Linked DNA regions of Tamandua tetradactyla. The protein of the gene in region 3 binds, or shares a complex with, the protein of the main gene of each other region. Links are inferred from orthologs where the notes say so. Each region holds a gene or a part of one and is shown on either strand. Other genes may lie near its edges. The genes, in order: HTATSF1, DDX46, SF3A1 and SF3B4.

What was found.
Region 1: SF3A1 (region 3) and HTATSF1 share a complex: the UniProt entries of both Homo sapiens proteins name them as parts of the 17S U2 SnRNP complex. The link is inferred for Tamandua tetradactyla from reciprocal best matches to the Homo sapiens genes SF3A1 and HTATSF1.
Region 2: SF3A1 (region 3) and DDX46 share a complex: the UniProt entries of both Homo sapiens proteins name them as parts of the 17S U2 SnRNP complex. The link is inferred for Tamandua tetradactyla from reciprocal best matches to the Homo sapiens genes SF3A1 and DDX46.
Region 4: SF3A1 (region 3) and SF3B4 share a complex: the UniProt entries of both Homo sapiens proteins name them as parts of the 17S U2 SnRNP complex. The link is inferred for Tamandua tetradactyla from reciprocal best matches to the Homo sapiens genes SF3A1 and SF3B4.

Annotation. Positions count from the first base shown.
Region 1 is NC_135353.1:22,881,504-22,888,566, forward strand, and holds the start of HTATSF1 (17S U2 SnRNP complex component HTATSF1), read right to left. Parts: upstream 3,002-7,063; 5' UTR 2,931-3,001; intron 2,754-2,930; 5' UTR 2,685-2,753; coding exon 2,499-2,684; intron 701-2,498; coding exon 520-700; intron 1-519. UniProt on the Homo sapiens protein: Component of the 17S U2 SnRNP complex of the spliceosome, a large ribonucleoprotein complex that removes introns from transcribed pre-mRNAs.
Region 2 is NC_135346.1:13,854,042-13,861,606, reverse strand, and holds the start of DDX46 (putative ATP-dependent RNA helicase DDX46), read right to left. Parts: upstream 3,025-7,565; 5' UTR 2,799-3,024; coding exon 2,782-2,798; intron 1-2,781. UniProt on the Homo sapiens protein: Component of the 17S U2 SnRNP complex of the spliceosome, a large ribonucleoprotein complex that removes introns from transcribed pre-mRNAs.
Region 3 is NC_135331.1:32,556,059-32,562,954, forward strand, and holds the start of SF3A1 (splicing factor 3A subunit 1), read left to right. Parts: upstream 1-3,873; 5' UTR 3,874-4,014; coding exon 4,015-4,077; exon of another isoform or gene 4,078-4,169; intron 4,170-6,896. UniProt on the Homo sapiens protein: Component of the 17S U2 SnRNP complex of the spliceosome, a large ribonucleoprotein complex that removes introns from transcribed pre-mRNAs.
Region 4 is NC_135330.1:5,899,502-5,906,514, reverse strand, and holds the start of SF3B4 (splicing factor 3B subunit 4), read right to left. Parts: upstream 3,018-7,013; 5' UTR 2,928-3,017; coding exon 2,894-2,927; intron 2,885-2,893; exon of another isoform or gene 2,581-2,884; intron 2,427-2,580; coding exon 2,298-2,426; intron 2,065-2,297; coding exon 1,522-2,064; intron 982-1,521; coding exon 775-981; intron 1-774. Other genes in the region: MTMR11 (myotubularin-related protein 11), read right to left, coding at 4,244-4,390, 4,694-4,987, 5,472-5,654, 5,931-6,104, 6,400-6,566. UniProt on the Homo sapiens protein: Component of the 17S U2 SnRNP complex of the spliceosome, a large ribonucleoprotein complex that removes introns from transcribed pre-mRNAs.

The DNA.
Region 1 (7,063 bases), on a different chromosome or scaffold from region 3:
GATTTTTCCAGAATACAGGAGGCTAGAAGGAATAAATATATTTTTTTATCATGACAATCAAACTTTTTTTCTGTTTTGTGAAAAATAACATAAATACAAAAAAGTAATAAAATTCAAAGTACACTGCCACATTAGCTGTAGAACATATTTCAGAGTTTGGTATGGGTTACAATTCCAAAATTTGAGGTTTTTACTTCTAGCTGCTCTAACATAATGGTGACTAAAAGTCATATCAATTTAATAATTCAGCAATCATATTCATTTAGAAAATCCTAACTTCTCTGTGTAACTCCACCATCAACTTTCATCTTTCTATTCCTCTCTTTAGGAGTATATTTGGGCTACGGCCCTTCTAACTTTTTCATGTTGGAAGGGGCTGGATCATGACGCTATCTTAAAAAAAACAACACTTCTTATTATTCCTTCAAAGCTACCACAAATTCTCCCAAAAATTAACTATATATACATGTACATTTTTACTTTGAAACTCATGTTTTTTTGCAAACTAGAAACACTTGCCTGAATCAGCCTTTCTTTTTTCTCCCCTCTTTTTGGGATCAGTGGGTTCAGGGGCCTTTTTTTGTGAAGGTTCCTCTGCAGTCCTAGCACTCATATCTTGTACAGTTGCAGTAGAGCTAGAGGCGCCATTATTAGAGAAGCCATAATTGGCCTGATATGTTGCAATGAAATCTTCAGTAATCTGAACAAGAGATTCAGCACATACACATAAGAAATGCAAAATTACTTCCTCCCACACAAAGTCTAAACTATATTAAATCACAGCATATTCAGTTATACAAATTAACATAGAAGTGTTTCTGTGACACTTAAAGTATAAATGCAAAATTTGTCATCTTATATAGGGAAACTGCATAAACTGAAAAAAAATAAGGCACAGGCCCTTGGATAGCAAAAACAAGCATGTGAGAAAACATTAAGATACTTTTAAGTGAAGTTAATACCTTTAATATTGTTTCATTTATAAATTAGAACATCTACTTAAACAAAGCTACAAGTACATATAATGAAGTACCAGATAACAATAGGATAAAAATCGAGAGACAACTAATAATCTAACCATAAAATCAATTTATGTTACTATAAAGATGCACAAATACATGTATATTCTAAGTATTTAAATATTTGTATGCAGAAAGCACGTAGACTGGAATCCTGATTCAATGAATAGAAATAAAACTAACAATTGCAAAACTATATGCTCACTTTAACTCTATCACTAATTAAATCACATTATCATTTAGCGGCAGAATAAATTAAGGACAAACCCAACTCACATCTATGTACCGTGCCTTTAGGGGATATAAAAACACAATGAAAGAATTGTACTTGTATCTTCATACCAGTCAATGTTAGGCACACAAAGGAATAGGGAAAATTTAAACTCAAAGTTTGAAAAGATACAGGCTTTCATAGCATAAAATACCAAAGATAGAGTTACAAATTAATTCATTATCAGATTACTGTTAAAAGTACTACTCAGAGCAGTGCAACAGTGGCTCAGTGGCAGAATTCTTGCCTGCCATGCCAGAGACCCGGGTTCGATTCCCGGTACCTGCCTACGCATTTAAAAAAAAGTACTTCTCAGAAGGCTGAAAAAACCACATCTGCACTCCAGCCAGCACTATCAGTATAGAAGTGAAAAAGTAATTTAACAGTTGGTAAAAATCGGTACATATACACAAATACAAAATGGAAAAGAAAAAAAATTTAAATAAATTTTATTAAATAAGTCAAATTACACAATGGAGACATGTTTTTTATTATTGGCTTGCCAGAGTGCTATTTCTATTTTTTTTTTCCTACCCATGAGACTCAGGTTAACATAGTACTTTCACCGCCATGCTTACAGAATCAAGCTGAAGACTAGTATTTTTCTTCCAAGCTTAAATAAAACACCTAATAATTTCCAAGTATTCCAAACACATATAGACAGATCTTTGCCATCCATATTCTGTGCATCTCTTGTCACAGTTCTGCAGTTACATGCATCAGAGAGTCCAAACCTAGGGGCCAAATTTAGTAGAAAAGAGCGGTGCAGACAGTCCAATCAATAAAGATACATAAACGGCTATCTTTTTCCTTAAATCAAGAATTGCATTTTGCGCATGGTACATAAACTAAAAATGTGAATTCCCAGGATAAGTGAGGGTAGCAACGAGAGATGAACAGCTACTGTATCTGTTCTTGGTATTTTTCCTCTTTGCAATAAAAAGCAGTCACGGATGTAGTAACCAACTGTGACCTCCACCGATAAAATTAGTAAGGCAGAGAAGAGATTTAATTACATTTAAGACATTTCCCTAAAGATTACGTTCCTCTACACATCGGTTCTGCAATAGACAACAACAAAACGAAACGTCACTATCCACGGGGGCTAAAACCAAAGTTCTCACTCAGTAAAGAAAATGTAAAAGAAGTGCCCCGTAAGGCTGGCCAGGCGGGCCCACTCTGCAGTGGCGCCGGTGCCACTTTATTACCTTGGGGAACCAAGCCTTCTTGTCCAAATCCCACTCGTAGGGGGTGTCGGCCGGCTGCTGCTCGCAAGCCTCAGTTTCTTCGCCAGGATCTTCTTGGTTACTGCCGTCCTTGCTGTCCCCGTACAATTCTTGCATTCGCAACTGCTCATCAAACTCGTCGTTCCCATCCAAGTTGTTGCCGCTCATGTTTCCTACCTAGCCCAGCGGCAGGGTCCAAGCGAGTGAAGAGGCCGCGAAGCGAGATGACGCTGGAGGCTAGTAGAGAAAGAGAGGTCCGCCCCGGTGGCCCGCGCACGGCCGCCCCACCCCGCCCCCGGCGCCCAGCAGCCCCCGGGAGACGGGTGCCCCCTAGGTGGCCGCGCCGCCCCCAGCTCTGCCCGGCCTCCAGCCCGCGCGCGCTGATGCTCCCAGCTCGGTCACGCCGCCGCCCACCTGGTTCACTCCGCCGGGCCTCGGCGCCGCGGCTCTGTCCAGGGCGCGGCGGAAGCGCGCGCGCGCCACCGCCGCCGCCGCTGCCGCCACGGAGCGGGTCTGAGGCGACCGCGGCTCCCGCGGCAACGTCAGGAAATTGCTTCAAAACGGGGCCCCGCTCAGCCTGACGCAGTCGCCATTGTGGGCGCGTCGCGACGTCGCGGTTCGCGCCGACACGCCCCCAGGCGGCGTCCACATGCGCCGACGCGCAGGCGTGCGGGCACGGCGTGGGGTCTTGGGCGCGGGGGGGCGGGGCGCCAGGGAGTGCGCTGCGCCCGCGCGTGGACGCCCACTGGGCCCGCCTCTGGGCCGGGGGTGGCCGCGCGGCTCCCGCAAGACCTCGGAATCTCAGCCGGCTGCCGGGTGGGTCGGCTCGCGTGGTTCCCAGAAGGCGTGGGAATATTCCTCCTAGGCGGGCGCCATCTTGGAGAAGTGGGCGGGGCGGGCAGGACCGGCTACTTTCGCAGTGGGAAAAAATCGTAACCCTTTCGCCCAGAGGCCTTTCCCTCCCACCTAGTCGTGTCTTTTATTTATTTATTATTTCCCCAGCCTAGGCGCCTGCTCTTGTCATCTTGGTATTCCAGGCGCCTAGCGCCAGGGTATTGGTGCCTAATCCATGTCGAGTGAGTGAATGAACGAATGAACGATGGGTGGAAGGACCAACCTCCTTTCCACTTCTCAGTCACCTCCTTTATCTGATCTTACCTTTTTCCTGCTGGAGATAAACTCTGGGAAACTGAGGCGGGGCTGCAGTTGCTTGTATCTTGTTCTCCAGGATTCAGGAGTGCTCAGGGCCAAAACATGAAACTTGAACGAACATCCAAGCGTCAGTATCAGCTTTAGTAGCCAACTGTAATTTTGGCTTTCTTTTAGAAAGACGCAGTACGCTTTGCTCTAAACAACCTTTTTTCCCCCTGAAAATGGTGAGCCCATCTTAAGTGGTGCAAATACGAATTTTTAATTGGGCAAATAGTTACTGAACTCGTACGAGGCGCCAGGCACCTGACTCGCCCCTGGGGACCCAGGGGTTAACAGGACGGGCACTGCTTAGGGAAGACAGGCTTATGTTGGTTGGTAAATGTTATCTTGAAAGTACCAGACGCTGGAGAACAGCGTTTCTCAAAATTTTCATCTCAGAACCCCTTTACACTAAAAAACTATTGAGGACCCCAGAGAGATTTTGTTTATGTGGATTGTATTTGTCAATGTTTGCTGAAAACATTTTTTAAATATCTATTGATTCATTTAAAAATAATAATAAACCCATTGTGTGTAAGCATAAATATAACCCAGACTTGAGGGTGAGGAAAGTCTTCCCAGAAGAAATTATTTCTAGTATTCCACTGACCTTTGCTTCTAAACATAACAGCTGAGTGTGGATTCTAGAAAATCCTGCATCCCTGCATATAACAGTCGTGTGAATCTATGGTTTCAACCATAGCAAAGTTTTAAACTAGCAGTTTGATTTTTTCAATTATATTTCTTTTTCATAAAATTCCTGTTTGCATACATTTTTATTATATAGATAACACGAGGTTTGTTAGACTCATTTAAACATTGCTAAATATTTCTTCCTGGATTCAAAAATAGTATACAGCTGTTTTCAGCAATGTGTTATTGGGCTCCCATTTCATTCCTGAGTTTAATGGTAGGTGCTGATATTGTGCATAGCTCTACTGCACGTGAAGCTCTGAGTGCGTGCTGTGCCCACAGCCCCGTTCTCAGCAGGTAGCCAAAAAGGTTCCATATGCCTAGTTCCCATGTAACCCAGCTGCCATAGCCCAAGGGCTGGCTAGGGGCCTGTGAGTTCATCTAGCTGGGTAGCTCTGCATTCTAGGCTATATTTGACTGAGCCAATACGGTTCTCTCTCAGGGAGTTTGAGCATGAAACATACGGAGAGGGATGTTGTCAGGGTAGCACAGAAGCTGAGATACCCACAGGGAAGGCTGAAATGAGTACAGGAGGCCTGCTGTTCAGAATTTCCCCTAGAAGTGAGAGGAAAAGTCAAAGCAACAACAGAGGGTCACTGAGACCCCATAGTAACAGGGCAGTGGGGTTGGGAACTAAGTACACTTGTACCTGCAATGACGTTCTGTATGGCAATGAGAACTGACAGTTGCATTTCTAACGTTAGCATTTTGTGGCGTGGTTCCTGTTTGTTCTTATTTCCCTGTGTATTGTAGAATAACTCCCTAGTAAGTGATGTAATCTGTCTTTGCAACCTTTCTTTCTCAACATTTTTCTCCAAGTCTGAGAAGTATTCAAGGTTAACAAGCAAAAGGCGAGGTGGGGAGGGGGGCGGCTGAGAGGGGAGCTGAAACTCAAAGACTGGAATGTAGATTGGCCTCTTCAAGGGGCTACTGGACCCAGGAAGAGGAACAAATTGAAACCCAGACAGTCTGCTTTTCTCTGAATATCTGCTTTCTTCTTTTTTCTCTAAGTTTTCAAGGGTGATTTGTGTGGTACTCCAGTCCTGTAGGCTACAGCCTTCTTGGTGGATAAAAAAATGCATTAATCTACAAAAGCAGAGACGGCTGGTTGAAAAAATCACCTATCTGGCCTAGGAACTGTCTCTGGGAAATTACTGAACTTACCAAACTAGACTTTTTTTTTTAGTGGTGCTGTTAAGCCCATTCTGTTCAGGAATTTTTCTGTCCCCACTTCCTGTAATCCCAAAATTTAGTGGAAATGAAAGTAACTCCTTCTGAAACAAAAAATTTGGAGGACCCTTGACCTAAAATGGTTAAAACTGCACAAAGTATTTAAACCTAAATTTGCTATTCTCAGCATGTATGTCAGTGGTAAATGTTTTGCAATGCTTTCAAGTTCAATGTTAGGGACTGGCTCACTGAACGAATTGATTATACCTAACTTTGTGACCTTGTTTTCATGCTTTGTAGTGTATTATTATGTTCCATTATTCAAAGCCTTGGGTCAGGGAAGACCTTGAGCAAAACTGAGAAGCACATTAAATTTGTTTCTCATGAAGCCCACGTCTTCTCCATTTAGGACCTTCTCCAGGGAAATGGTGCCACAATAGGCAATGTAAAAGAAATTTTGTAGATTGGAGCCTGTTTGCAAGGTTAGCCCTGACAAGGATAATCTGTTAAAAACAAGAACAACAACAAAAACCCAACCAACCCCATTCCCCCAAAATCGACAAAACAAAACCATGAATTTTAAATGCGACCCCCCAACTTTGGATGGGAAGCTGATGCCCTATAAAATCACTTAGGGAATTATTTTAAATCAGATCCCTAAGTCACTTAGGGAACACTGAGAATGAAGAAAGTTCTTTGAGCTCCATTTTTATCAGCTGCTAAAAGGTTGTCTTGGCTTTTGTAATCTGGTATTATCAAGCTTTTATTTCTAAAATGTCACACCTAGGGGAATGAAGATGTACACTTTTACTCTGAGTGAGGAAAATAATGAATATATTTTTGCATACTGTGACTCGAATATAATTTGAATTTTGAAACTAAAATGGGTGGTCAGTTATATTCTTTCAGAAGTATTGTTTTTAGAATAGAAAGTTACAGAAAGTCATTCAAAACTTTATTTCATATTTATTTTGTCCCTCTCCCCCCACTTATTACAGTGTCCATTTTGAAACAATAATAATACAATATAGGCACCTCCACTTTAAGTAAACCAGTTTTACAGAAATTTAAAGTCTAGTGTTAATATATATCCCCCTTTTGAGCCACAGGATTAACGAAAGTTCACAGTTACACAAGCCATTTAAAACGCAAAACTACCAAAAGCACGCCCAACAATCAAGTTTTTAAAAATACAGTATTAACAATTATACCAAGTGTATGCTTTAATTTGCCCCAACAAAACACTTTCTGAAAGTAACACAAATCTAAGTCTGACATGTCTGTTGACAATAGTTGTTTGAAATAATCATTAAGAAGCTTATAGTGTTAGCAAGTAGGAGCTAAGGATAGAAAATCAGAACCTTCCATCTGATTTCCAAGGGCAGATTAGGCCATACTCCTACGGGACTTAGGCACACATTGGGTTAATAGAGTTGAGCAGGAAGATGATATGATAACGACTGCACACCTAGGTATTAGGTATTTCATGTGGC
Region 2 (7,565 bases), on a different chromosome or scaffold from region 3:
TGAAGTCATGGGTGTCACCAAGATATCTGGCTGGAGCAACTGCAAAGATAAAGATACCATTTATTAACATGGGAAGACTGAGGGAGGTGCAGACTTGAGGGTAAGTGGGTGGGAAATCAAGATTTAGGTATCCAAATGGTGATGTAGAGTAGGTACTTGAAATAGGAGTCTGGAATTCAGAGAAGAGGTTTGGGCCAGAGAAATGAATTGGGAAATAATCATCAGTGTACATCAGTATATTTAAAGCTATAAGCCTGGATAAGAACACAAGGGAAAGAATACACCTGATTATCCCTCAAGCACATCAAATTTAATGTATAGAAACCCAAATCATTTATCATCCCAACTTCCAATCACATAGGCTCAAAACATTATCTTCAATATTTTTCTCTTCTTTCATTCTATACAACCAATGAAACTCTAAGTATAACTAATTTCACCTCCACAATTTCTTGCATCTTATTTCTAGTCCACTGCCGTTAGTCCTTATCAGGAGGCTAATCTACTTAGAATATTTTAAATGACTCCTGGTTTTTCTGTTCTGTTCTCTTTTCCCTTAAATCTGTCTTACTCATTGCTGCTAAAGCAGATTCTGTTAAACACACACACATATCACATATACACATTTCTTACTGAAAATCTTCAAAGGCTCCCAAGCAGTCTTAGATTCTAAACTAAACCTACAATCCAAACCCATCTTCCACAGTCTGGGCCCAAATTCCATTCAGAACCTATCTCCTCCTACTTCTCTTGAATCTTCATGCAACCTACATATATAGAGAGAAACTGGGCTCCTTAAATATTTCTCTAACATCCTGCTCTTTCCCACTCTGAGCCTTCCATTATTCCCTGAAACACACCTATAGAGCAGAGGCCATGCAAGGCAGAGGTAGGGAAAAAGGCCAAAGGGCTAGAAGGGATGTTCCTGTGAAGGACCCTTCAAGAACTACTAAAGAGTTTGGACTTCATTCTGGAAGTAGTGGAAACTAACAGAGATTTTTAAGCAGGGGAACAGCATAATCTTATCTTCATTTTAGAAATGTCACTCTGGTTGCAGTGTGAAGGTTCTATAACTCAGGAGATCAAGATCAGAGGAAGAGGAACACAAAAATTAAACAGAATTTTCATGATCCAGCAATTTCACTCCTAGGTATACAACCAAAAGAAGTGAAAACAGATACTCAAACAAAAGGTGGAAAGAGCTCAAATGTCTACCAACAGACAAATGGACAAATTGTGGAATATACATACAATGTAAATATATACATGGATTGAAGAAATGAAGTACTGACACATACTATGACATGAATGAATCTCCAAAACATTATGCTAAATAAAAGATGCCAAAGAGTCATATATGGTATAATTCCATTCATAGGAAATATCCAGAGTAGGTAAATCCATAAAGACAAAACACTGATTGGTGGTTGCTAGGGGTAGGGGTAGGAGAGAATGGGGAGAAACTACTTAATGAATATGGGGTTTTATTTTGAAGTGATAGAAATACTTTGAAACTAGACAGATGCAGTAGCTACACAATACTGTGAACGTAACAATTGCCACTGAACTGTTAATATTAAAGTGGTTAATTTTATCTTACATGAATCTCACTTCAAAAAATTTTTAAAAAGGAAAATATTTTTACAGCCGTTAAAAAAAAAATCAAAGATAATCAATTCAGGGAAAAAAAAAATTTGAGGCAGGTGCAATGGTCCTGATTAAGGCCTGAATTAAATCACAGTTAGGAGGAATGCAGAACGGGTGCAGAATCAACTGGACCTATGCAGTGAGAGAGAAGGTTGAGTCAAATAAGTATCACTTCCACGTTTCAGGACTGAGTGGCCAGATGACTGCTAATACCTTCACTAAGATTTAAAAGACCGTCAAGGGATTTTCTGTCATTATGGAAATACTCGTTATTTCTATCAGGTGATGGTTATATGGTTTAAATGCTACTAAATTTCAACAAACTATACTCTTTAGCTTTGTACATTTCCCTGAATGTTGATTATACCTCAATAATCTACTGTTAGCATGGAAAAATAAGCCCTCACAGTCCCTAGATATAAAGGTTCCTTCAGTCACTAATACATACACAGCAATCACCTAAAAATAAAAACTTCAAGGTTCCGAACCAGTTATCAGCAATATAAAGTTTTTAAATGGTCTCATGGCTTTAATAAGATCTCCCAATCCATAGTTTCAAAAGGATAGAAAGGAAGTAACAAAAAAAAAAAAATCTATTTGCAAAATAAATGACCGCGCAATAAATATTTATCGTAGCCCAATAAAAGCCTAGTCACATACAGAGCGTTGTAGGTGATGTAAAAATATCTGTCCACAGGCTCGTTTCAACTGACATAGGAGAACACTACACCCGCTCACAGAACTAAAATACCGAGCGATGACACCAACTAAATGTTGCAAACGGGAGGCGAAAAGAAATTCTACTGGGATCACCACAGTCTGAAGGGATCAAAGTCGGCTGCGTGGAAGTGGCGGGATGTGGAGGCCAATCACTGATGTCCCGGGAGGGTTGTTCCGGTTCCCGAGGCTCGAATCACCCGACCGTAAGGCAGGGAAGATGTGGGATCGCGGCGGCCCAAGAACAACCATTCCCTCAACCCAGGAGCCTCCAGCCCTATCAGCCCTTCCATTAGCCGCAGGACCGCGCTGGCCGCACGTGGGGAGCCGGCCCGGCCCGGCCCCGCCGCGACCTCAACTCCCGCCTCTTCCCCAAACCAAATAGAAGCCGCGGTCCGGCTCGGCGCGCTATCTCACCGTGACTCCCGGCCCATGCTGCCGCTCGCAGGAAAGCCGGCGCCCTTCGGGACGGCGCGCAGGAAAACGGGACACACTGGAAAATTGTGCTGCCCTAGGGACGCGGGCAAGCACCAACACTAAGGAATGGCAGCAGCCACAGCGGCAGCGTCCATTCCAGCGCGGCCAAAGAAGACAGGAAGAGTCGGCGCCGAGGGCAGAAGGAAGGGAAAAGCGACCGGAAGCTGCTGCCTCTCCACAGCGCCACTGTCGTCAGGAGGCCGAGTAGCAGCCGCGCCCCTAAAGAAAATGGCTTCGCCGGCTTCTCGCTGCGCTCTGGTAGAAGCCTGGGGCTGGTTCGAAGATGCATTGCTGCGCCTCCGCGTGGCAGGATGTGGAAGGGTTTTTCCTCCATTTCCGCCATAAAGCCGCCAATTGCTGTACCAGGACCTGCACAGACATACATCTTACTCTGCACTAAATAACGCTACCAAACGTCTCCATTCACTTTCCCCATTTGTTTATATATTCATTCATTTATTTACAAGCAGTTACATGCCAGGCATGTGCTAGATGCTTGGGGAGATTACAGTCTAGTGTAGGCAACAAAAGACACATTACTGAAAACAGTCAGATATAATACCGCAAGCAGAGGCCCGCCAGAAGACAAGGCTTCAGGGAAAAAATAAAGTTCTCTGAGGAAGTGATCACTGACGTGAGGTTTGAAGACGAAGAGTTACATTTGTGGAGAAAAGAAAGAACTAAAACTACACCAGCAGAGTTGTAAAAGTTCTCAAAATGGCTGCACTGGGAACCTTTTTTAAATTTTTGTGGATACCTGGGTTCTATCCTGATATTCTGATTTAATTAGTCTGGAGTGCTTCTTGAGCAATGGGAATTTCTAGGCTTCACGAGTCTTCTAAAGTACAGCCAAGGTTGAGAACTGGCGTAGTAGAACACATCAAGTCGTTGACAGCTGTTTTGCAGAAAACCGTAATGGAGTTGGGGAGAGGCTGTCACTTTTACTTTACATGCCTCTGCACTATTTTACTCTCTTACACCTAAGGGTGATAGGAACATTCTGTATCTTGATTGTGGTAGAAGTTGCACAAAAGTATACATTTGTCAAAATCCACTGAACTCTTGAAAGGGGTTAAAACAGGAAGTTTTATGTTGTATGTTATCACAATATTTTCTTTATTCATTAAACTGTAGTCTTTAAATTGGCACATTTTATTTATGTAAATTTTACTTCTGTAAAGTTGATTAAAAAAAAAAAATGAAACAAGTGGGACTCCAAAACTACCTACCCACTATTTCCCTAAGGCATACTGTTCACCTCTGACAGCAGGCAGTAGCGTTGAAAAGAGGTGGAGACTTGAGTAAAGAAGTCTGGAACTAATGTGTGACAGGATGGACACTAAAGAGGGTCAGGTATCCAAGGCACTGTAAATTGAAAACAATTGACAATTGCTTGACTGTGGGATGAAGTTAAGAAGGATGGATTGCATTCCAAGAGAAATAGGAAGCCAATAGTGGTTTAAACAGTGGAGACAGTAAAAAAGTCAGATTTGAATATGTTACAGAGGAAACCCTCAAAACAAGCTGATAAATTTGCTGTGAGCTGTGAGGGAAGACAGGGAAAAAAAATAACTCCCAGATTTTGAGCCAAGCTATTGTGGATTGCAATAATGTTATGGAGATGAAACGGATTTGAGTTTCATCATGGGAGCGGATTTGAAGGAGTAAAGAAACAAAATTGGTGATTCTGTTTCAGTCATATGATGTTTGAGATGCCTATTAGATATCCAGAAAGAAATAATGGCTAGTTAAGGGAATATATGAATCTGGAGCTCTAGGGAGAAATAGAGGTTAGAGCGATTAAGAGTCATCAGCATTTTATAGGATATATAATATGTAATGCTTGGAGCTATGGAACTGGATGGGACCATGCAGGGTAAATGGGAAATAAGGTCTTTAACTTTTGAATTTGACACAATTTAAATATTGTTTAGAATATTGCATAGAACCACAGAATTAATGGTCCAACTGGAAAGCTCATTATTTTAAAAGTGAAAATACTGGAGTCTTCCGGGTCAAGATGGCGGCTTAACAATGTGCGCGTTTTAGTTCGTCCTCCAGAACAACTACTAAATAACCAGAAACAGTACAGAACAGTTCCCGGAGCCACGATAGTAACCGGACACACAGTGTACCCCAGTCTGGACCAGCTGGACCAGCCGTGAGCACCCTCCAGAACCGTGAGGTCCCAAACCTGCGGCGGCCAGCGCCCTTCCCACACAGGCCGCTTCCCAGAGGGGAAAGGAAAGGACTTTACCAGCAGCAGGGACTGGGCACAATCAAACACCAATTGTGGAACTAATTAACAAATTTTGACTCCTAAAAATAGGCCCCCAGCTTCGGTGAACCTGATCAAAGCAGAGGTTGCTCATTTTTGCCCCAGCGTCAAGGGGGCAGGACTGACAGAAAAGGGGGGAAAAAAGAAGGAAACAGAGGTTTTTGTGACTGTGTATCTACAAAGGCTTGACTGCCTCTGGATACAGTGGCAGGACTTTTCAGGCTGCAACTGCTTTGGGGGGCATATCTGGAGCCTATGCCTTCCCCAGGGGAGGGGTGAAGCCCAACTCAGGTGGAATACCTCCATCAAGGAATTCAGACACCAGGGCTTGGTAATTTGAAGTCATTAAAACCAGCCTACAACCTCTCCTGTGTCTCCACCATGCCCCCAGCAGGGAGAGTCTGCCAAAGTTAAAGGCACCGCATCATCTTATGCTGGTGGGATCTGCAGTCAGACAAGCGCCACACACAGGGCAGGATAAGAAAAACACAGTTCAGAGACTTCACAGGAAAGTCTTTCAACCTGCTGGGTCTCACCCTCAGGGAAAACCGATGCAGGTGACTCTTTCCTCCTGATAGGAGGCCAGTTTGGTCTGGGAAAATCTGGCTGGGGTCTATAATATCTAAGTAGACCCTCCTAAGCGTGTGTGGGGGAAAGGCACCACACAAGCAGGGCAAGAAACAAGAAAACAAGAACTGAAAAATTCTCCTCTGTTAAACAAAACTTGAGCTAGAGGTCCAGATAAAGCTGAACAGAATGTCAAGGAACAGATAGACAAGAAATTCATTCAGTAAGAAAACCCTAGATAAAAGATGTGAAAGCAATCTCCAGAATAAACTAATTAAGGTAGTTAAATGCCTAGACACCAGCAAAAAATAACAAATCACATTAGGATAATTGAAGATATGGCCCAGTCAAAGGAACAAACCAACAATTCAAATGACATACAGGAGCTGAAACAACCAATTCAGAATGTATGAACAGACATGGAAAACCTCATCAAAAACCAAATCAATGAATTGAGGGAGGATATAAAGAAGGCAAGGAAAGAACAAAAAGAAGAAACTGAAAGTCTGAAAAAACAAATCACATAACTTATGGGAATGAAAGACACAGTAAAAGAGATGAAAAAAAAACTATGGAAACCTACAATGGTAGATTTCGAGAGACAGAACATAGGATTTCAAAACTGGAGGACGGAACATCTGAAATCCGACAAGAAACAGAAACTATAGGAAAAAAATTGGAAAAATATGAGCAGGGACTCAGGGAATTGAAAGACAATATGAAGCGCACTAATATACGTGTTGTGGGTGTCCCAGAAGGAGAAGAGAAGGGAAAAGGAGGAGAAAAACTAATGGAGGAAATTATTACTGAAAATTTCCCAACTCTTATGAAAGACTTAAAATTACAGATCCAAGAAGTGCGGCGTACCCCAAACAGAATAGATCCAAATAGACATACTCCAAGACATTTAATAATCAGAATGTCAGAGGTCAAAGAGAAAGAGAGGATCTTGCAAGCAGCAAGAGAAAAGCAATCCATCACATACAAGGGAAGCCCAATAAGACTATGCGCACATCTCTCAGCAGAAACCATGGAGACGAGAAGACAGTGGGATAATATATTTAAATTATTAAAAGAAAAAAACTGCCAACCAAGAATTCTATATCCAGCAAAATTGTCCTTCAAAAATGAGGGAGAAATTAAAACATTTTCAGACAAAAAATCACTGAGAGAATCTGTGACCAAGAGACCAGCTCTGCAAGAAATCCTAAAGGGAACACTAGAGACAGATACGAAGACACAAGAGAGAGGTGTGCAGAAGAGTGTAGAAAGGAAGACTATGATTAAAGGTAAAAAGAAGGAAACTTAGATATGACATATAAAATCCAGAAGGCAAAATAGTAGAAGAAAGTACTACCCATGCAGTAATAACACTGAATGTTAATGGATTAAACTCCCCAATCAAAAGACATAGTCTGGCAGAATGGATTAAAAAACAGGACCCATCTACACGCTGTCTCTACTCAAAGGACACAAGGCCAAGGACACAAATGGACATTTACACACCAATGTTTATAGCAGCATTATTAACAATTACCAAGAGATGGAAACAGCCAAAATGTCCATCAACAGACAGTTGACTAAACAAACTGTGATATTTACATAAGATGGAATATTATGCAGCTGTAAGACAGAATAAAGTTATGAAGTATGTAACAACATGAATGGACCTAAAGGACATTATGCTGAATGTGATTAGCAAGAAATAAAAGGACAAATACTGTATGGACTCACTGATATGAACTGACATTAGTGAATAAATTTGGAATATTTCCTTGGTAACAGAGACCATCAGGAGATAGAAATAGGGTGAGATATTGGGTAATTGGAGCTGAAGGGATACAGATTGTGCAACAGGACTGAATATAAAAACTCAGAA
Region 3 (6,896 bases):
ATTGGAGTGCCAGCTTCCTTTCTCCAATGCAGAAACCGGACTGAAGCAGCTGTTTAGTTCCTGGGAATGGAGAGTGAGAGGGCAGTCAGGGAGGGCTTCCTGGGGGCCAGGAGCAGGCTGTCCAGAAGGTGAAGGGGAGGGTGTTCCAGGCTAGAAGAATGGGGTGATGGGAGACCCTTGTCTTGAGGCTGAGCACAGAGGACATGCTTCAGCCAGGTGAGCTTTGACTGAAGGGCCTACTCCGTGCCAATCCCTGAATGCTTACAACAAGCAAAAGAAGGCGGGGTTATTGGCTCCTTCACAAATGAGGAGGCTGAGGCCCCAGGAAGTTATGGGGCTAGCCCAAGGTCACTCAGGAAGCTGGGATTCTGAGTCCAGTATCTCTGTTCTTAGTCCATGCAGCTTCTAGAGCAGCACTATCGAAAGAAATATAATGTGAGCTATGGGTGAACTTTTTTAAAACATTTTTTACTATGAAACATAACAAATATACAGAAAAGTAATAAACTTCTAAGTACAAGTTATAGAACAAATTTCAAGTGGTTCCAGTTCCACAATTTCAAGTATTTCCTTCTGGCTGTTCTAATACACTAGAAACTACAAAGAAATCTCTATATAATGATTTAGTAATCACAATCCTTTGTTAAATCTCAATTCTCTGTTATTAACTCCTCCCTCTCATTTGATCATTCCCCTGATTTTCAGGGATATTTTGGCAAAGATCATTCTAACTTCTTCATGTTGAAAAGGGATGTCGAACCTTATGGGGTAGGGGATGCAAATGGTTGATATTCCGGGAGAGGCTGGTACCTCTAGGTTTCAGGCACAGGAACAATTGGGAGGTTTTATGTTTCTGAAAAATAAATTTAATAAGTAAAACTTTTATAGAGTCATAGATAGAATCTTGGGTTTTCTTTACGGTTTTCAGGAATACTCTTGGTTGGGTCTTGGGACACCATGGAAATTTATAACATCTGGCTGAAGCTTGTATAAGAGTAACCTCCAGAACGACTTCTCAACTCTATTTAAAATCTCTTATATAGGCGGGGTTTTAAATTTTCTACTAGCCACATTAAAAAAATAAAAAGAAAACAGGTAAGTTAATTTTGATGGTGCATTCTAGTTAACTTAATAACCAATAAAGCATTATCATTTCAACATGAAATCAATAAAAAATTATTAAGGAGATAATTCACATTCTTTTTTTGTACTGTCTCACTGACAGCATATCTCAATTCAAGCCAGCAACCATTTCAAATTTCCCATAGCCACACAGGTCAGCAGCTAACATATTGGACACTGCAAGTGTATATGAGATTCATATTCATTCAGCAAGCATTGCCTGAGTACCTACTACATGCTGGAAACTAGGGATGAAGCAGGTACATGGAGCTTTGGCCTCAAAGAGATACCATCTCTGTCTGAGGGTCCTGCTGTAGCAAGTCTTGGGTCTATGAGCTCCATAGGCTCCATCACCAAGGAAGGGAAATGCATATCCACCCCATAGCACACATGAACATACTCTCCTATAGCACCGGCCTACACCCCACACACAGTGGTACTGGAGTGCTGACTTGGCGACAGCCTCTTGTGAGATACTGTTGCCCATAAGATTTCATGTCCCCCAAGGAGTGAAGTATAAGGAACAAACAGGAAAGAAAGAAAAAAAAAACAGACTGAAACGTTCTATGTTTCCTTCCTGGGATGTAGGAGGAAAGAGATAAATGAAGCAAGCAGAAGGTCCCAATCTAGATGGAGGCGTATTCAGGTGCCAAGCACCTGGACTCATGGAGCTTCCTCATGGAAGACACCATTTTGTTCCACCTTCAAATAACTTCAGCTGCCATCCGGGGCCAATTGCAATACCAACTTCCATTAGATTTCAGTTCAGAGAAGCAGCATCAGTAGATGCAAAGCATCAAGAAGAATATACAAGAGGAAAATCTAACATTGAAAAATATACAAGGTAATTATATGGTTTCTTCTGAAAACTGGGGCTATGCAAATATAAGACTGGTTTGAGAATCACTTAGGTGTGTGTCAAGTGAGGGAGCATTTGACACGGTCTTTCTCTCTACCTGGGCCTGGAGTATAACTTTCAGCCCCAAACTGCCAACCATGCACTGTCCATGTGATGGCACAGAGGATGGACGCTTATGGAGTCAGCACTGCCACTAGGTAGGCAGAGCAGCTGACTCTGTCTCTCCTCGGGTTCAAGGTTGGCTTTTGCCTACCAGAGAACAGTAGGAGCTGTTCCCTCTTAGCCTACCCCCAGTGGTAAAGATTATGCCTCCCTCCTGGTCCAGTAGGCACACTAAGATTCAAGATCACCACCTTGAAAACACTTTGGATATGGACAGATGAGTAAAAAATATATATAAATAACATGGGGTGGATAATGGGTAAAAAAAAAATTGAGTAGATTGAAATCTCAGTGGTCGATGAAAGGGAGGAGTAAAGCTTATGGGATGTATGAGTTTTTTCTTTTTATTTCTTCTTCTGGAGTGATGCAAATGTTCTAAAAATTATGGTGATGAGTAACAATACGTGATGATATTGTGATCCACTGATTGTATACTTTGGATGAACTGTGCATGTGTGAAGACATCTCAATAAAAATATTTTTAAAAATGCAACTAATTGTTGAGGTATGCTTTGAAATGTATTGCTTTTTTGTATTATGTCATTTTGCAAAATAAAAAAAATTAAAAAAATAAACCTTGGAAACCCAAAAACCATCTAAATGGCAGTTAATCCATCTCAGACCCAGGGATTCTAATTGCCTGGATCCCTGGAGACACGGAAAGGAACTTGTGATGAAAACTGAATAGCTAACTGCACTACCAGAAGGGCCTGGGTTTGGAGCTCCATTCTGCCAACTCTGAACTTCACTGACCTCATCTGTGAACAGGTTGCTCTGAAGAATAAATGATACAATGCACGGAGTGTTTCCAACAGGTTCTGGCTCAGGGTAAATGCTCAATAAGTCCTAACTACCGTTATCATTCTACATCGACGACACAAGCCGAGTGTGTGTGTGTGTGTGTGTGTGTGTGTGTGTGTGTGTGTGCGCGCGCGCGCGCGCGCGTTCAAGAGGAAGCAGGTGTGGGAGAGCACCGCTTTCTATCAATAGGTGGAAAAAGTGAAGCTCAAGCACTGGCTTGGCAACCCCTCCCCACGCTCTGGAGCTAGGAGGGAGGGGAAAGGGGACAGGGATGAGGGCACTTGAGAAGGAAGCCGGGAGGGCGGGATTTGAGTGTGCCACAAGGGAGTGAGGGGCGGGGTATGCAGGGACGCACCAGTAGTTGTGATGGGGGCGGGGGGGGGGTGTCTAACGCAACCAAGAGACGGTCCAGTGGGGCCTGAGGGTGGGGCTATGGAAGGAAGAGGATTGAACCCAGAAAAGACAGGCCCGTGGGAATTAAGGGTGTGGGGGACTTGGAATAGGGTTGGGAGGAGCTGGAGGAGACGGACTTGAAGCGAATGAGGTGGTTAAGGGAAATGGGACTCTGAGAAGTGCCTGAGCGTAAGGGAGGGGACTCTCCAAAGTGAGAGGTCAATGGGAAGGGGCCTTGGGAGGCGGGGTCTAGGGAGAAGGAAACTGGCCTGAGACTAAAGGAGGGGGACCAGGGCCCCGGGGTGAGTGCCGGGGACATCCAGCGGGGTGCTGTAGAATATCTCACCCCTCTCGGAAGTCGCAGCCTCAGCCTGTGTCTGGCCGGCTCATGGAACTGCCCCCGGCGCGCCTGCGGCTTCCCTGGATGCGCAGCAACCCCTAGCCTGGCACCCGGACTGCTGCCATGGCAACGGCGTAGCGCGCGAGCTCGGCCCGAGGGGATGGGACCGGAACCTGGTGGGCGTGTCAGGAAGTGCGTCAGCCTTGCCTCCTCGGAGACGACCTGCTCGGCCGCCGCCATCTTGCTAGCTCGTCGTCCCGTCCGTGCGGGGATTCTGTTTTGACGCCACACTGTTCATCGACATCGAGGCGGACTGGCAGCCCTCAGCGTCGCAGTCATGCCGGCCGGACCCGTGCAGGCGGTGCCTCCTCCGCCGCCCGTGGCCGCCGAGCCCAAACAGGTACCGCGCCCCCCGCACCTCGATCGACAACCCGAGCCTAGGCCTGGACCCTCCCCTCCAGCGCGGGTTCTCCTCACTCATGCAGGAAGAAGCTGCCGCTGTGGAGGGCTTGGAGGGACTGCAAGTCCCAGGAGGCAGCGCGCTTCCTGCGCCGCGCTGCCTTCTGGTAGCGAAGAGGCCTCTTCTGAACGGTCATTGTCAAAGTGTGGCCCGCGGACTATCGGCCTCATCACCTGGGAGCTTGTTAGAAATGCCGAATCTCCGGCCCCTCCCCAGACCTTCTGAATAAGAATCTGTATTTTAACTAGGTTCCAAGGTGATTCATATGCACATTAAAGTTTGAGAAACACTGACCCAACCCCTGTCCCGGTTTTCTGCCCCTAGCTTTGCCCAGTAATTTCTGAGTTTCCAGCCTGCATAGTCCACATTTGAGTGTTAATTCTCAGCATCTCCTTGGTGTTTATTCTAAGCCAGCCGTCATGCCAACCTCCAAAGTTGCTGGAATGAAAGAAGCACAACCGCTGCCTTAGAAAACTCACCGACTAATGGAGGCAGACAGGCATGAATACTCAACAGATATTTGTCCCCATCTCGAAAATGATACGGTTCAGGCCGAACTTTAAAAGGCTCTCGATCAGCTGAGGGGGAAAGTTGTGTGTAAATAATTGTAGCGTGGAGTGATATACTGGGTAATGGAAGTATGTGGCCGGTATGAGAAGGTTATTTAATCGACATTGCTTTGATGGGGAGGTTAAAGTAGTGAAAGTTCATAGGAGTGTGAAATAAGTTGCTTTTAGAAGGATACATAAGAATTCACTGTGTAGATGATTGGGAAAGGGAAATACAATTTTTCATTCATTCAGCAAACAGTTGTTGCACACGTACTATATGCTGACCACTGCTTTCAGTTCAGAATACAACTGAAACACAACAGAAGAAGTCTATGCCTTTGGCATAAATAATTAAGTGCCTCTATGTCCCAGGCATTTTCCCAGGCACTGGGAAAGAATAAACAAGATAATATCTGATAACGATAAGCACAGAGGCACTTTGGAAGTGAGGTAGGAAGCAGATGATGCCTCTGGTCAAGAGTAAATCTAAGTTTTGTTGGAGCATAGGATGGGAAAGAGGAAGGTGGTGGTAGGAGATGGTATTCAGAGGATTTGACCTTTTTTCTTGTAGACAAGGGGTGAATAGGAAGGGTTTTAAGCAGGATAGTGACAAATTTGTGTTTTAGAAATTCAGATATTGGTGTGGAGAATTGCTAAGATGACAGAAGACAGTCCTTTTTTTTTAACTGCTGAAGACTTGGCTTAGATTTTGAGGAAGGGGGACGGGCAATCCCTTGTCACAGAGTACTCTTTCCAAATTCTGGCTCTGCCATTTGGGCCAATTAAGCTTTCCATGCCTCAGTTTGGTCACCTGTAAATGGGAAGTATAAGAACGCCTCCCTCATAGGCTGCTTATAAAGGTTACAAGAGTTAATGTATTTAAAATACTTAAGCATTGGGGACCTATTTTTGTGCCTAATAAATGTTAGCCGTTGTTATCCTTAGGGATTAGATGAGGAGGCTGACAAAGGGAGAGAAAGCCCAAGTGTCTGGCCAGGCCATTCAAAAGGAAAGGGTCCAGTGATGAAAGTGCTTAGGAGTCAGTTGGATTGAAAGCTCTGTGGCATGTAACTGCGATCTGGGCTAGGAGATTGCTTTGGGGGGATTGTTCAGCCTAGGTGTGATAGGGGAAATAGAAGATGTGGTTTGCTGACGACAGCAGGAATTCCATGAAGAGAACCAAGAACAAAATTTGGAGTCTTCAAAATTTAGAGGGCGGGAGGTGAAACAGGAGCCAGGAAGGAAACTTGGATAGGATGGGTGTTCTAGTTTGCAAGCTGCTGGAATGTGATATACCAGAAACAGAACGGCTTTTTAAAAGGGGAATTTATTAAGCTGCTAGTTTACAGTTCTAAGGCTGTGGAAATGTCAGATTAAGGCAAGGCTATGAAGATGTCCAGATTAAGGCACCAACAAGAGGTTACCTTCACTCAAAGAAGGCTGATGAAGTTCGGGGTTTCTATCTCAGCTGGAAGGACACGTGGCAAAGTCAGTTAGCTTTCTTTTCCTGCTTCATGTTTCAAGAAACTCTCCCGGGGGGTGTTTTCCTTTTTCACTGCCAAAGGTTTCTGGCTGCGTGGGCTCTGTGGCTCTTACACTTTTTCCAAAATGGTTCCCTCTTAAAAGGATCCGGTAAACAACCCTGAATAAGTGGTGACACAACTCCATGGAAACCATCTAATCAAAAGTTACCACCCACAATTGGGTGGGTCACATCTCCATGGATAATCAAAAAGCCCACCCAGTGATACTGAATGAGAATTAAAGGACCTGGCTTTTCTGGGGTACACAAAAAATTCAAACCAGCACAGATGGTCAGAAAGTAAAAAGGAAAGATGGGAAAAAATGGGGTCTGGGAGTTGAGTGGAGAGCTTTGCAAAGGAGTGATCACTGGTCAAATGCCCAGATAACTGTTATTTTTGGTTGAAGGCAGTTGTTTTTGACTTTGGTAAGAGCATGTGAAATGGATGGGGACCAAATGGGAGGTCAGGAAGTAGGAATGGCAAGACTGAGAGAACTCAGGATGTTTAGCTACCAGAGGAAGGGCAGGGGAAAGCTAGTAGCAGAAATGAACACAAAGGGAGGGGAGAAACTTATTTTTCTAAGATGAGGGACTTGACCCTTTATTTACGAAAAGGAAGCTAGTTGGGAAAGTATTAGGAATTTTTGGGTCACTTAATATGGATATTCCAATAGAGTCTCAACATT
Region 4 (7,013 bases), on a different chromosome or scaffold from region 3:
CAATGGTAAGCTGGTATGAAATAATGAGGGCCTGGACTAGATTACTGGCAGTGGGGGTAGATGCCAGAGATATTAACAAGACTTGATATTAAGAGCAGAGTGATAGGAAATAGGCAAACATGACTCCCAGGTTTCTGAATTAAACATCTGAAAACAAATCATGCTAGAGGAAGAGTAGGTTTGAAGGGGAGGTGGAGAAAATAAGCTCAGTTTTCATCATGTTTGGGTGGAGGAGCCCAAGGGATAGAAGAGTAGAGCTGTTCAGGAAGCAGCAAGAAGATCAGGGGCTGCAGTGTGTCAACAACCATGGAATACAGATGAAGATCTAGGAGGCATCGGTGAGTAAGTAATCGAAACTATGGAAATGTGGAGAAAAAGAAAACCAAGGATAAAAACCTAGGTACATGCAAAGAAAAAGGAGCCTATTTAAAGTGGCTGAGATTGAGGAGTCAGACAGACAGATAGAAAATCCAGAAAAACAGAAGTCAAAAGTGACAAGAATTTCAAACAGGAGGACATGGCCAATTTCAAATACAGCAGAGGTCAAGTCAGATAAGGAGCAGAAAAGTCGCCAAGATTTGGTAATTTTAGGATGGTAGTTGTTAAGGCAAACAGAATGAAGTTTTTATAAAATAAAAGACAAGGAGTGATGTTTTTATAAAATAAAAGACAAGGAGTGCTCTGAGGGACAGAGGGCAGTTACAAGAGTGGTGACAGAGAAATAGCACACCTCTGCCAAGATCATCCCTCCCTTTCCCAGCAGAGAATACCTACCTGGATGGGGCATCCCACCTGGCGGGAATGGGTGGGGATGTGAGTGTCCATGGCCAGGATGCCCAGCCCCTGGGGTTCCTGCTGATGGAGGGCCATGTCCTCCAGCTCCAGGAGGCATAGGTGGTGGGGGCATGGCTGGCGGTATTCCGGGTGGAAGGGCTCCAGGAGGTGGTACTGGGGGTGGGAAGGAGCCAGGAGGAGGCATGCCTGTAAAGGAAATGGAAAAAAAAAAAAGAGTTAATGGTAGTAGGGTAAAAATGGTAGTAGGGAGAGAATGCCCTAAGCTGGCCTCTCTAGGCACATTTACTGCTTTTCCTCTCTACCCAGCTCTCTAAAGTCAGACGGAGCATTAGATTCAAACAACTTCAACCTTCTAGAGGAATCCAGCAATGAAAGTTGTAAAGAAATTCCTCACCACACCCATCACCCCCAATTCCCTTCTAATCACCCACTGACTCACCGTCTCCCTTTCTCCAATTCTTTTCCCTTGTGCCCCACACCTCACCAAACATATTTTCAATGAAAAACTTTACCTAGTGAATTGCCCAACACAGTGAACCCTAAGTCAAACTACAGATTTTAGTAAATAATACAATTATAAAAATGAGCTTTCATCAATTGTAACAAATGTACCATACCAAGGCATGGTGTTAATAATAGGGGAATTTTATGGGAATCCTGTATTTAATGCTTGATTATTTTATAAACCTACAATTATTCCTAATTTAAAAACAAAAAAAACTTTACCTGGTGGAGGAAGCCCAGACCCCAATGATGATACCACAGGATTGGGGGCAGAGGGTGGAGGGGGTGCATCTGCAAACAGCTGGTGAGGGCGGTCAGCCTGGGATAGTGGGTTCTGGGCTGCCAGAAGTCGTTCAGCTGCTGAGCCATGGCGTTCACCCTTAGAGTCCTTCTTGAAAGCATAGGACACAGTGATAGGGCGGTTACAGAGGTACTGCCCATTCATGGCCTCAATTGCAGCATCCGAAGCATCAAATGAAGCAAAATTAATAAAGGCATAACCCTTGGAGTTGCCTGTATCAGGGTCCCTCATGATCTTGGGGGTTTGCAAGATAACCCCAAAGGCGCTGAACGTATCATAAAGGAGCTTCTCATCAATCTCTGGGTCCAGGTTCCCAATGAAAATGTTGGCTCCTACATCCAGGTTTTTATTGTGAGCTGATGCCTTGTTGACCCGTATTGGCTTTCCATAGAGTTTGATCATGTTCATGATCTTAATAGCATAGTCAGCATCTTCCTCACTCAAGAATTCCACAAAGCCATAGCCTGAGGAGTTTAAAAGAAGAGAGGTTAACTACTGAAGAGAAGAGATTCAAAATGAGATGTAACTCACCCCACCCCAAGGCACAAAGAACAAAAAAGAAAATAAAAATCTCACTTCAATGAAAAGCTTCCAGGAACAAAAAGGAAAAGGAATCTTCAGGCTGTTCATCCCAAAACAGTGTTTATAGTGTTGCCAGGGGCGGTCTGTTCCCAGCATCTTTTTCCTTGTAACTCACCTTGGTGCTGGCCAGTGACTCTATCCTTTGGCATATGGGTGTTGACCACTGGCCCTGCCTGGAGAAACAGCTCCCATAGCAGCGGTTCGCTAACCTTCTCATCCAGGCCCCCCACGTACACAGTGGCATCTGGAGATTAGGGTGGGGGCGTGAGAATGACAGGAAATGGGGTGACAGGAACATGCGATAGAATCAAGGCAGAGGGATTGGGAATGGGGTTGGGGGATAGGAGCAAAAAGGCAACAGAAGGAAAAAGAAAAATCATGTTAGAGTTAGATTAAACCTTAAACCTTCTTCTTCCCAGGACTGAGAGAATCTTCTGAAATCAAACTTGTGTTCTGCTGAAAATTCTACGTGTACGTGTGCTGTTTCTTAGATGCAAACAAAGTCAGCAGCGGAATAGACGGACATACAAGGCTTCGTGCCTACCGGCCCCAAGCGGCACCCGGCCGACCCCCCGCCCCCCAGCAGGCCTGGCGTTCGGCCCCGCGCCCTCCGGGGGTAACAAATCATCCGCCCCGGCGGAACCCCTGCTGGCCCACGTCGGGGCTATCCAGCCCCGCTCGCTCCATTTCGGGATCGTCCCCTCCAGTCACCCTGGTTCCGCTCAGAAATAGGCCCGGCCGCCATGGCGAAGGCGCTCCTGCTGTCTCCAAACACTGGCCCCGCCCTTTGACCCCCACCACTTCCACTTCCGGGGCGGAGGCGGACGTGATGCGAGGCGGCGGGCGGGGCCACAGCGGAGGGGCCGGAAGCGGCCGCGGCCATCTTAGGAGCCGCTGAGAGTTGTGGTCTCGCTCGTGTTCTCTGTCGTGCGCCAGGTGCCGCTGCGAGGCGCTGCGAGCGTCGGTTCCCGGATGACCAAAACCGGGATGTCCAGACCCAGTTGAGGTTGTGCCAGGCGTTAAAGGGTTAAACTGTTCCCTGAAAATGTAAATACGAAATCTAAAGAAACAAGCCTTTTCATATATGTTGGGGCCAGATCCGTTCCCCAGAAGAGGGTGTGTTGCGGAACCCCCACCAACCCAAGGACGCGAAGGCAACCTTCGCACAGTCCCGGCTTGGGCTTGAAGTATTTCGTTTTCCCTCAGAGGAGGGGACTGCAAAATTCTGAGGTGGGAGTGTCGTTCTTGGCCAACCTGAGGCTCAGTGATGGGGCGTGACGAAGCCCGGGCCCCAGTAACAGCATCTTTATTAGTTCCAGGCTCTAGCTCCACCTGCCCCTAAGGCACGGAGAAGAAAACCATTTTCCTCAGTAGCATAGGAATTCTGCAGAGCCTCACCTGATCCGGTTCTCTTTTTCCTTAGCGATAATATGGTGAGTCCCTTCCTCCCCCGAGTCACACCCACCCTCCACCCACCACTGTTTGCTACCTGTTCAAACAAAACAATTCCAGCAATGTGTATAAATACGGTGCTTTAATGAATTCCCTAAATAGAAATGTCACTACAAATATAAACAGTTCGAGGTGGCAGGGTATCTCCCATTCCCATGGAAAACTGTAAAAAAAAAAAAAAAAAGAAATAGTAATTGGAATTAAAGAGGAAGCAAGAGGGGGTAGCAATGAGATCTCTAGGCCATCTTGTTGGGACTGAGTAGCATCTCTGATCTGTCAGTTTAAGGGCTGGCTATCCCAGAGGGGTAGACTGGCCTTGAAAACAGAAATCACCTTCTGTATTGCTTTGATAGTTTTTGTTTTTACTTTTCAGTTTCTCAAATGACAAGAAATAAAAACTAAGTCTTTAGGAATCAAACAGGGCAGAATAAGAGTTGGAGAAGGCTAGCACCACCCACCTGCAATAAAAACTTGACACTACTGGCTTTTTAAAGGGCTGGAGTGTGGAAACTGAAGCCCAAAATCAGATAAGACAAACTGAGGGATTAGGCAGAACCCTTCCCTCATCCTGGACCTCGCTGTGTCCTACCTGTGAGAGAGTCAGCAATTTCAATGGGATTGGGTGAGAATGGAATTTGGTTCTTTTTTCTTGGAGTGATCCTCAGGAGATATTCTTGGTGTCCACTTTTTTAATAGCTCCTGAAGATGAGATAGCTCATCCTGGAGGCCACAGACTGTGGGGGCTGAGAGGCCAACCTGGGGAGAGGGCAAAGGGACAGAGAGAAATATTGCAGCTCTACACACTCTGTTTCTAAGACCTGTCCGCTTCTGCTATCTTTAATTCTCTTTTCTCTGCCAACAGAGCCCTAAGGCTCTATTTTATCTAAGCCACAGCAGTGTTCCCACACCCTACACTCCCAGACCTGCCCAGTTTGATACCAGCAGGAACGGTACTTCACTTTCCACTCCACCCCAGCTCTTTGCCTTTCCAGCTCCTGTTCATCTAGTCCCGTAGTCAAGCCCTTTCTCCCACTCCCAATTGCTATCTTCTTTTCTCACCTGGATCTCAGGCCGTCCCCTCAGGTAGCAGCGTCTCCATAGCCTGATCTGGGGTCCCAGATATCCAGGGCGCAGCAGCCCAGGGGGCAAAGGGCAAGCCCCCCAATGTGAGGGGAGACCCCACTCCTGGTCTGCTAGGCTTTCAGAAGAGATAGCAGGTCGAGGGAGCCAACGAGAAGAGACTGCCAGCAGGAAAGGACTGTCCCGCCAAGGACAGAGCTGATTCAGGGGTGTCAGGGCCCCTCTAGAGAAAAGCCATACAGAACTTGGAGGTCCAGGAACCATGAAACTTGACTACAGGGGAAAGGGAAAACAATTGGTAACCTAGAAACCAAATGATCCAGTTTCTATAGGTTCAGTTTCTATGGCCCCTTCCTGACTCAGTTTCCCCAAACTGAGTCAGGAAGAGGTGTTGAGCTGCCCCTCTCACTGCACTAGCGATTGAAACTACAAATCGTCCCCTGAGAACTCTATTTACTCTCCTCATTAAGCTTCAAACTAGGCCTCAGAGATGACTGAAGTTGATTTTTAGAGAAACTTGTAAAATTTGTGGATAAGAGGAAGATTAAATCAAAGATGAGGACAAAGATAATAAGGCTGTCCTCTATGATATTTTAGAGTTTATGTCTTCCTGGGAACAGTCAGGGGCCATAAATGACAGCTGTAGAGGAGGAGTGGGATAACTTCCTCAGGGGAACTCAGTGAATCTTCTCACTTCCTTACCTATTAGGATGAGTCTGGGAAAGTCAAAGGAATTCAGGAAATTTAGATGACTCACCTGCTGCCTGGGGAGCCAGGAATCTGGGTGGTACTCTGGGTCATAGCAAGGATTTTGGAATTGCAGTATTTGTTTATTGCTGTAGCGTAAATCCCAGTCCCAGACAGACAGCTGTGAGTTAATAGAGTTCCCAGCTGGGGGCTGGGAGTATCCTGGGGTGTAGACTTGTGTATAGGAGTTGAACTGGACAGGGGAAGTTTGAAAAAAAAAAAAAAAAGAAAAGGATGATTAAGCAAAAAAATATATAACTCTCCCAAATCTAGAGAGAAATCATGAAACCCAACTCTTATGCCAGGAATCAGATGCAGGGCATAAATCCAGTCTGTTAAGTGAACATCACCCTCCCCTTCCCCACCGACAGACCTCACTTCTCTTGTTATAAAATAACTAAGGCTCAACTTCAGAGAGTAATTCTCAATGGGGTAAAAAAATGACAAGTCAAAAATGTCAGTCACTTACCTGTCCACCCTGCTTTCCACGTTCCCAGGGAGTATCTCTCAGGAAAGTCAGGGTGTCAGGAACCCTGACACTGTCATGAAGAGCAAGAAGGAAAAACTCAGAGAATTCAAACTCAGCTGGGAACTGCTGGAGGAGCTGCCAGACACAATCAAGGAAGAGGAGAAACACTGGGGCCTGAGAAGAGAGAAATTGAGAGTGTGGAAGGAATAATCGGACCTAAAGAGGCAAGATCGCAAAATGATGGAGGATGAGGACACAGGGAACAAGGGGCACTAAGAAGGTCAGGGAATGGAAATCGGAATTGAGGGTAGTAGGGGATTGTGGAGCCTCAGTCATCTGGGTCTCCCTCCTGCCTGAGCTTAATCTTAGAACCTTTGTGATCTGATTTTCCTCCAATGGATTATAATTTTCTCATCCCCTTACTTCTTTAATAGTACCCCCAAATGAACCCCCCCCCCCAAATCCTCACCTCCTCACTGGCCCCAGTTTTCCCAAGCCGTGTCAGGAAGGGGTGTCCAGCTGCCACCCATTCTCGTTGCACTAGTGATTGGAAGCCAAGCAGTGTTCGAGCTTCAGGGACTGAAAGCAGCTGGACGAGTGAAGAGAGGAGGCCATTGAAATCACGATCACCGCGCTCTGGGTGATAAAAAAGGGAGAAGGGGCAAAGAAGCAGGACCAAGAAACTAGGGCAGGAGAGAATGAGAAGAGGAAACATGGCAAGGAGAAATGAGAGGCACAGAGGTGAAAAGTTGTGGGTAAGCAGGATTGAGAGGGCACATAGAAGAAGTGAAAAGAAAATGAAAATAAAGACCTTGAATAACTCACTTCATAGACTCCACCCCATTAGAAAAATCCAGCTTCACAAGCTGGAAGCAGAATCACAGTTCTTTAACTTCCACATTGCCCTTCCCACCCTAACCATCCACTGATAAAAGGAGGGAGCGGAGGGGCCAGGAATCCTAGTGTTAGGGAACACAGCTATAGTGGGAGGGTGGAGGTAGCACTGAAGGGTGAGAGAACTCATAGGTACTTCACAGTAACTCCAAAGGAGAAAGCTTACACTAGAAGGAGACAAGGGAGCCT